2 linked regions of the Rattus norvegicus genome follow. The protein of the gene in region 1 purifies or fractionates together with the protein of each later gene. This does not show direct contact. Links are inferred from orthologs where the notes say so. Each region holds a gene or a part of one and is shown in the gene's direction. Other genes may lie near its edges.

Region 1 (4,215 bases):
ACGGTTCAGAAATCCATGTAGGCAAAACACTCATACTCACTGAATAAATCCTTAACTGTGTTTTCCATTGAAAATGCAGATTTCAAAGAAAGGGATTTTGCAGTGTTTCTTGTACAGCATACTGAGGGCAAGCAGGCTAATTAAACAAGTTAGATTCTGGGGGGTGGGGGGTGTTAGAAAAATACTATCTGTCTCCATCACGGGTTCCTTGCTGTAAAGAGACACTGACCAAGAGAGGGAGACAGACAGACAGACAGACAGACAGACAGACAGACTGGGCCTGGCATGGGCTTTTGAAACCTCGAAGTTCACCCCGCAGTGACACACTTCCTCCAACAAGAGCACACCTCCCAATCCTTCTAAGTAGTGTCACTCCCTGTTAACCAAGCATTCAAACCTATGTTTGTGAGGGCCATTCCCATTCATGCCACCACTGCACCCCACAGCAGAAGGCGACTGCCATCCCTGCTTTACATCACTGCACAGGTTTATTTATGTTTCTGTATAAAATGCTGTCTAGTTTGAAATGTCCTAATTCCACTTAAACCCAAGCAGAAAAGCTTATCAGCTTAAGGAAGAGCCGCAGGCAAAGGCAGCTGCTTTCCCACACTCTCCGCACAGCTGGCTTTGTCACGTAAAACCTGGCATGGTTACTGCAAGCTTGGAGAGTTCCGTCCCACAGCAGGATGATGGCCAGCAGAACTGTTCCAGTAATGGGTTAATTTGAATGTTGTTGGGACCTTCCCTTCCTACAGATGGGTGCACCCCACTGATGCTGGCTTCTCTCCGAGGAGGCAGCTCAGACCTGAGTGATGAAGATGAAGATGCTGAGGACTCTTCTGCCAACATCATCACAGACTTGGTCTACCAAGGTGCCAGCCTCCAGGCACAGACGGACCGCACTGGTGAGATGGCCCTGCACCTTGCAGCCCGCTATTCGAGAGCTGATGCTGCCAAACGCCTCCTGGATGCTGGTGCAGATGCCAACGCCCAGGACAACATGGGCCGCTGTCCTCTTCATGCTGCAGTTGCAGCGGATGCCCAAGGTGTCTTCCAGGTAAAGGGCCAGAGTTGGTTTGAGTGGGAAGAGTGAGGTGGCTCACTGGGTACAGGCATGTCGTAGTTACTTTTCTATCTGTGGTAAGATACCATATCCAAGGCAGCTAATAATAGGAAGAATTTAATGGAGCCTACGCTTCCAGAGGATCAGAGTCCGTAATGGTGGAGCAAAGACATGGGGGCAGGAACAGCTGAGAGCTCACATCTCGAACCACAGACAGGAGGTGGAGAGCTACTGGGAGTGGCACCATCTTTTTCAAACCTCAAAGCACACTGGTGACATACATTCTCCAGCAAGGCCATACTTCCTCAGTCTTTCCCAAATGGCCATCAGCTGGGGCCTAAGTCAAAGGCTGAGACTTATTGGGAACAAGCATCTCATTTAAAACACCACAGGTGTTTGCCACCAACCCCAAGAACCCGAGTTCAGTCCCCAGGACTCACATAGTAAAAAGAACTGACTCCTGCATTGCACGGACCTGCCTGCACACACACCAAGTAAAATAACTATTATAGGCCTGTGGTGGCTCAGCTTTACCCAAACACTTACCAGCTCGTTGAATTCATTGGAACAGAAGTCTTTGAGAAACGAATTATGCTGGGCAGAAAAAGGAGGAAGGCCAGCTGACCTACTTTGAGTAGCCAGAGAATGATTCAGTCAGCCACAGGGTTCTGAATCTTAATGAGCAATATTTTGATATGCAGTGATGCCTTGCAACTCTACAGGTCGGATGGGAGCAGGAACTGGTCCAGATCCTTGGATTAGTGTTAATTCTCTATAACTCTGCCCGTCTGTGGGCCTACAGCTGATCCCTGACATGAGTGGGTAGTGAATTATTCCTCAATTAACCTGATGAGGAAATTGGAAAATTCTAGCTGACCTGTGATTGAAGCTGTGACACTTGCACACACATTTCCCTTTCCTTAGAAAGCAGAACATCGTCCTAATGGGCCAGAGCATCCTGATCATCTACAGTGGTGTGAAAAACTCAACAAATACACAGTGAAGCCACTATAGCTTCTAGCACATAAAGATAGCATGCCCCAAGGACACCTCAGTCTGAATGCTCTTGTCTCATTCTTCTTCATCTAAGGGACACTTTTCTCTGCTTCTCTTCTAGATTCTGATCCGCAACCGAGTAACGGATCTAGACGCCAGGATGAATGATGGCACTACCCCCCTGATCCTGGCTGCCCGCCTGGCTGTGGAAGGAATGGTGGCAGAGCTGATCAACTGCCAAGCAGATGTGAACGCAGTGGATGACCATGGTATGGACGAGGACCTGGCTCAGTCTGCAGAGCATGTCTCTAAGCAAGAGAATTGCTACACTCCCCTGAGAGGACGTTCTCAGATCTGGAGATCTGAAGCTGAGAGTCCCTTACTCTTTTCCCGTCTCACACCCTTCCTTCAATATGCTGGGCTCAGAGAACTGAGGCACTAGGAGTCCCCACATTAAGATGAGAAGGGTTGGGGTTGGGGATTTAGCTCAGTGGTAGAGCGCTTGCCTAGCAAACGCAAGGCCCTGGGTTCGGTCCCCAGCTCCGGGAAAAAAAAAAAAAAGATGAGAAGGGTTTTTGGTTTTAGTGTTTTCAGTATGAGGGTTCTTGAATTTCAAAGAATGTTCTGGAAAGGTTTGCTTGTGGGTTCCTAGCCGTAACCACTCTTACTACGGGAGTGGGTTCCCTGGGGATTACGAGACAGCTTAAGTATGCATTTGGCGTATAGCAAAGCGCTTCCTGCCTTCAGTGTGTAGAACTGGGGCATGTGGAGGCCATGAATGTCACACACCAGGGGTCCTGTCACCTAAAGGCTCCCAGCCTGTGCTGAAATGTTCTGAGAACACAAGGAACAGAAATACAAGTGTGCTTTCCTGTTGGCTCCCTTGGCCACTGAGGTCTGTCCTGCTGCTGTTCTCCGGGAGGTTAGGGTTTCCTAGAAAACAAAAACAAGATAAAAATAAATAAATAAACAACACAACACTTTCCTTAGTGCCATACTTATAAAACGTTTCCCCTGCAGGAAAATCTGCCCTCCACTGGGCAGCCGCCGTCAATAATGTGGAGGCAACTCTTTTGCTGTTGAAGAATGGGGCCAACCGGGATATGCAGGACAACAAGGTACAGCTTTCAGCTCAGAGCCTGAGCATGCTCACAGCAGTGTCTCCCTTAGGAGGTCACCTGGGGAAGCTTGCTGGGGGAGCCAGGGACAGAGACCCTGAGGGAGGATGCAGCTTGTTGGGAGGCAGCCCCTGGCTGTTCCGTGCTCATCAGGCTGTCCCTCGGCACACCCTCCCCGCCCTTCTCCTTCAACAGGGGCTTCTCTGGTGTGTGCTCACCACTGTCCTCACGGTCTTCCCCTTCTCTCTGTGCAGCAGTTGGTTTCTCTGTTCTTGGATACCAAAGTCTACTAGGGTTGGCACTACCTTTTGTGGTCCCTCCTGACACGCCTCTCCTTTATTCCTCTTGCATTTACTTCTTTCCTTTGTTGTACATCTTTCCCTCAAGTCTCACCCCCTCTCTTTCGTGTTCTGAATTCTTTGGATACTTTGGTTTCCCTACTCTCTTTCTTACTGGTAGCCCAGTTTGCTGTCCACTTGATGTGAAGCTCTGGCCCTGAGGCCTGCTTCCTGTCACTGACTGCTGTCTAATTGCTGGTGCTCCTGGGAGCAGAGTGAGTTCTGAGATCTCTGTGGAAGTCAAAGTACACGGCATATAGGAAGAGATACTGTCTGTCCATGGTATTTCATAGAAGAAGCACTTAGAAAACGTACTAAAAAGATTATAAGAGAATAAAGGTTAGGAACATTTCTGTGTGCTCTGGGTATTAAAGATATGTTCCACGGTCTTTCTTCAGGAAGAGACACCTTTGTTTCTTGCTGCCCGAGAGGGAAGTTATGAAGCAGCCAAAATCCTGTTAGACCACTTTGCCAACCGGGACATCACGGACCACATGGACCGCCTTCCCCGGGATGTGGCTCGGGACCGCATGCACCATGACATAGTTCGCCTCCTGGACGAGTACAACGTGACTCCCAGCCCTCCGGGGACTGTCTTGACTTCTGCTCTCTCACCTGTCCTCTGTGGGCCCAACAGGTCTTTCCTCAGTCTGAAGCACACCCCAATGGGTAAGAAGGCCAGACGGCCCAACACCAAGAG
Region 2 (4,781 bases), on another chromosome or scaffold:
TCAGCTTCGCACAATAACAGACTGCCTTAATGACAGCCACGCGAACGACACACACCAAACTCACTTTTTACCAAGCCGAGGGAGGCCTGAGGGGAGTACCCAGGAGAGTGGGACCGGACCCCAGTGAAGGTTGTGGTGGTTGAAAATCTCCGGGGAGAGGGTGTGTACACTGTGGAAGGGTTCGCTTAGCTTTTGGCTCTGCTGGCTTAGGGAATACACTGCCCGGAGCCGAATTCCCCATTTCCAGTGATCGTGGACAACACGGAGACACTAGGGCTCTGGGACACTGCGGTCTCTGGGGGTGCCCGGCCGGGGTCGCGAGCCCATTGGCACTCTTCAAGGCTCAGTTGCCACCCTCGACCAGAGGTATAAAGCGTGCCTAACCTCCCCCAAACTTCCCAAAACTGCCGCGGCGTTCTCGCCACCCTTTGCCCACCTCTTCAGGGGTCCCTTTCCTACCGGGCACCCCGCCCCCCGCCGCCTCCGGGAGACTCCTCCTTAGAAAGAGCCTGCCAGGGAGGAGGGGCAGCAGCGGGGACGCGGGCCTCTAACCTCTCCCCGGTTCCTCAGTCCCCAGGACTGAACAAACGAGGAGAGCCTTGGCTGCCAGTGTTGGAGACGCCAGAGTCCGGAGGCCGCGTCCTGCGAGCGAGTCTAACGGTGACCGCGAGTGGGAGGCGCAGGCCGCCCAGCGTGCCTAGGGTCTTCGGGCCTGTGGCGGTGGGGCGGTGGGCGACGCGGCCTCAGCTCCAGCTCCGGGAGCAGAGCGGTTCGTCTCCCCGAACGTTTTGCAGGAATGTAAATGAGCGGGTTTTGCGCTGGGGGAGGGAGGCGAAGGGGCGAGGGCGGAGGCAGAGAGGACTAGGGGGCGGGGAGGTGGGGGCGGGGAGGAGGGTTGCACATTTTACAGCTCACTGACCATTTGGCGATCCATTGAGAGGAGGGTTTGGAAAAGTGGCTCCTTTGTGACAGCTCTCGCCAGATTGGGGGGCTGCTCATTTGCATCTCATTAGTTATGCGAGCGGCCGGCGGGATTTAAGGGTGGCAGGCGCCAGCCCCGGCCAGATCCTCCGGCGTGCACCCGCGGTTACCCTGTCTGACCAAGGCAGGTCACGGGAGAGCACCGGTGCGGCACGGAGCCTCCCACGCTTCGGCCTCCGGTCCTGGGTGTGTGTGTTCTCGCATGGCATTGGCTGAATTCTTGAGGAAGACGCGAGGCTTTGCGATAGTGGAAGAGATACCGGTCTAGAACACTCTGGGAGCGGCAGCCGCCGCCGAGTGACGCCCGGCCGGGAAACCAGGGCGCGCGCCGCAGTCCTTGCCACCACCTCCAGCCCGTTCCCACCGTGCCCCTCGGGGCCCCGGATTATCGCCTCACCGGTGGGATTTCCAGACAGCCGCTCTCTAATAGGCCTGCGAAGGAAGCCACTGCAAGCTCTCTTGGGAATTAAGCTGAACATCTGGGCTCTCTTCCCTCTGTGTCTTCTCTCCTTTCTCCTCTTTCCCTCCGCGAAGAAGCTTAAGACAAAACCAGAAAGCAGGCGACCCTCACTTACCCGTGGACTGGAAGCCAGAAGAAGAGGAAACCGAAAGTTGTCCTTTCTCAGTGCCTCGCAGAGCTCTTGTCAGGGACATAGCTGTAGCACCGCACCCTCCTGAAGCGACCTGGCCCGATATCACACCTGGAGCCGAGAGGCGCCTTTCCACCAGTGCTCCTCGGGTCACATAGACTTTCCGGGCATCCCTGGGTCTTTGAAGAAGAAAGAAAAGAGGATACTCTAGGAGAGCAAGGGCGTCCAGCGGTACCATGGGCCGTCGGAGCGCGCTAGCCCTTGCCGTGGTCTCAGCCCTGCTGTGCCAGGTAGGGGGCCGGGCGGGGCTGCTGCGCGGTGGAGGGAGGGGAGTCGGACAAGCGGATCAGCTGTCCATCCCCAAGTGACTCCCGCAGCGATGACCCCGAGAGCTGCCCGGCAGCGGGCGGCTCCGGATGGGCGCTGAGGTGCGCTCGGCCTCTGCGTCCTAGCAAGGGCCCGCGCGCCCCGGGTCCCTCCGCCGCCGGCGCGTCCTCACGCCCCTTCCCCGCGCAGGTCTGGAGCTCTGGCGTATTTGAGCTGAAGCTGCAGGAGTTCGTCAACAAGAAGGGGCTGCTGGGGAACCGCAACTGCTGCCGCGGGGGCTCTGGCCCGCCGTGCGCCTGCAGGACCTTCTTTCGCGTATGCCTCAAGCATTACCAGGCCAGCGTGTCCCCGGAGCCACCCTGCACCTACGGCAGTGCGGTCACGCCAGTGCTGGGTGTCGACTCCTTCAGCCTGCCTGATGGCGCAGGCATCGACCCCGCCTTCAGCAACCCCATCCGATTCCCCTTCGGATTCACCTGGCCAGTGAGTGGGCACCTGCGCGCACTCCGCTGGGCCTGGCCGGGTAGGGGTGGCGGGCTGGTGGCTGGCAGTGGGAGGGAGGCACGGGCCACTGATAAGGGTTGGGAAATCCCACAAAGCCACGCCTGGGGTCTTGACTTCTTTCTGGGAACTGGCCGGCAGTTGAGGAGGGGATGTGGGACACCAGAAGCTTTTGCAAGCCCGGGGCATTTCTCACAAACCTCAAGGGTCGAATGCTTCCCCCACCCCCCCCAAAGTTGGGAGAGTTCTTGTTCCCTAGCTCCTAGGCCTGGGTTGGGTCGCTCCCAGTGCTGCGACTGCTCGCTACCCTCGAGGTTCTATCCCCAGAAAACTAATGACAGCTGCCCTCTTCTAGCACCCCACCTTGTTGGTTTCAGTACTCTCTCTTAAAAAAAAAAAAAAACACCACAATATCCTGTATTAACATTTTTTAAAAAACCCACACTCATGGGAAAAACACTCTTTAAAATTTTCCTATTAAGGAAACTGATATGAGTTGACCTTCATTGGCACAATCCAGAGATCTGAGAGCCTCTGTACTTGGTTCCCTTTAATGCCTCTCCTCCAACTCCTCCTCCTCCCCCTCCTAGTCCTCCAACTCCTCCTCCTCCCTCCCCCCCTCCATACTTCTGGTTTATCAAGCATCCTCTCCCTTTTTCCTAGGGTACCTTCTCTCTGATCATTGAAGCCCTCCACACAGATTCTCCTGACGACCTCGCAACAGGTAAGGCTCCAAACCCCTCCCTCAACTATACATTCTCTTCATCGATGCACAGTTTACTTGACCCACTCACCCCAGTCCTCTGCTATCTTCGCTCTGCATCTGGAGTTCAGAGAAGGGTTCTTGGCTTGACAGCATCCATGCAGTGTCCTCAGTTCCTAGCTTTTGGGTGTTATCAGAACCAACCTGAGCTTCTTCTCTCCCAGAAAACCCAGAAAGACTCATCAGCCGCCTGACCACACAGAGGCACCTCACTGTGGGAGAAGAGTGGTCTCAGGACCTTCACAGTAGCGGCCGCACAGACCTCCGCTACTCTTACCGGTTTGTGTGTGATGAACACTACTATGGAGAAGGCTGCTCCGTGTTCTGCCGACCGCGGGATGATGCCTTTGGCCACTTCACCTGCGGGGAGAGAGGGGAGAAGATGTGCGACCCTGGCTGGAAAGGCCAGTACTGCACTGACCGTGAGTCCTCTGGGTCCATTTATGGGGAAAGACATGGGACTTAGCAACAGGAGATGGTAGAGATAGACCAGTGGGGAAACTGAGGCCTAAAGAGAAGTGTTTTTGCAAGGCTCGATGGCAGTTAGGCTGGATTCAGGCATTTTAACAAGGGAGACGTTGTGTCCACTGTAGGAAGCTGCTTTTCTTCACGGGGAGGAGTTCAGAGACAAGGCCAGGGGTCAGGAAGTAAGGCTGTGTTCTCCCTAGGGCCTTTGTATTAGAAAGGGAAGAGAGGAAGGGAGGGGCAGAAAGGGGATGTGGAGGGCTCATTTTCCAACAGTTCTCCTTGTTGCAACAATGTCTCATTGGGAAGCCCTCCCTTTCCTCCACAGAGTTAGGGTGCCTGACCTGCCTACAGAAATCTATTTCCAAAGATTCCCTGTGCTGTACTCTGTGTGCCCTGTCCTGTGGGGAGGCCTTCAATCCTTGGGGCTGTGCAAAACTAGCAGGTGTGCTGAGGTAGACTGCAGGGCTACACAGCTGAGGGTCACCTTGTCTTGTGTAAATGCTTACAGCACGCTGTCTGTAAGAAAAGCAGTAACTGACGTCCTATAACCCTCTTGCAAACCAGGGTACTAGGGCCACAGGGAGGACTTCTGCTCTGGTTCCTGCTCATAGGCACTTCAGGGGGCCTCTCTCCAGTAATCTGAGGCCAACCTGTAGGATTGGCATTTCCTCCCAACATCAGGGCCTGGTGAACTCTTGTTCTTCTGCCCCACAGCAGTTTGAACATTGGACTGTGTGAGGCCCGGAACTTCTGTCAGTGTGTGGGGGAGGATATGCATTAGCTATCTAGCTTTAGGTTTTGCTTGGGGATGAAGGGGGTCCACACTTCAGTGAGAGCCTGGACATCATTGTTGCCTAGTTTTCCATGTCCTTTGATGCTCCGCCTTGGCCAAGAGCTGGCTGTTTTCTTAAGAACTGGGGTTGCTGATCATTAATGGGTTTCATAACTGGGGAAGTGAGCCAGCTCAAAGCCTCAGCCTGTGGCCATCCCCCCACCCCTTCAGGCGCCTCTGGCCTCCCACAGTAGCTTTCCTCTCTCAGGGCCAATAGTTCTAGGGTAGCCAGAAATCTAAACTTCTCTTATTCCAACACTGGGGTCTCTCCCCGCCCCTACTTACACGTGCCATAGATTAGATCTCTCTGAGGAAAGGC

Evidence for each region. The genes of interacting proteins can lie anywhere in the genome.
Region 2: the proteins of Notch2 (region 1) and Dll1 purify together in Homo sapiens (affinity purification with western blotting; 3 studies listed by BioGRID). This does not show direct contact. The link is inferred for Rattus norvegicus from reciprocal best matches to the Homo sapiens genes NOTCH2 and DLL1.

The regions. Positions count from the first base shown.
Region 1 is NC_086020.1:188,424,377-188,428,591, forward strand, and holds part of Notch2 (neurogenic locus notch homolog protein 2 precursor), read left to right. Parts: intron 1-755; coding exon 756-1,057; intron 1,058-2,180; coding exon 2,181-2,328; intron 2,329-3,079; coding exon 3,080-3,177; intron 3,178-3,913; coding exon 3,914-4,215. UniProt on the Homo sapiens protein: Functions as a receptor for membrane-bound ligands Jagged-1 (JAG1), Jagged-2 (JAG2) and Delta-1 (DLL1) to regulate cell-fate determination.
Region 2 is NC_086019.1:64,990,017-64,994,797, reverse strand, and holds the start of Dll1 (delta-like protein 1 precursor), read left to right. Parts: upstream 1-1,523; 5' UTR 1,524-1,807; coding exon 1,808-1,861; intron 1,862-2,087; coding exon 2,088-2,381; intron 2,382-3,062; coding exon 3,063-3,123; intron 3,124-3,326; coding exon 3,327-3,584; intron 3,585-4,781. UniProt on the Homo sapiens protein: Transmembrane ligand protein of NOTCH1, NOTCH2 and NOTCH3 receptors that binds the extracellular domain (ECD) of Notch receptor in a cis and trans fashion manner.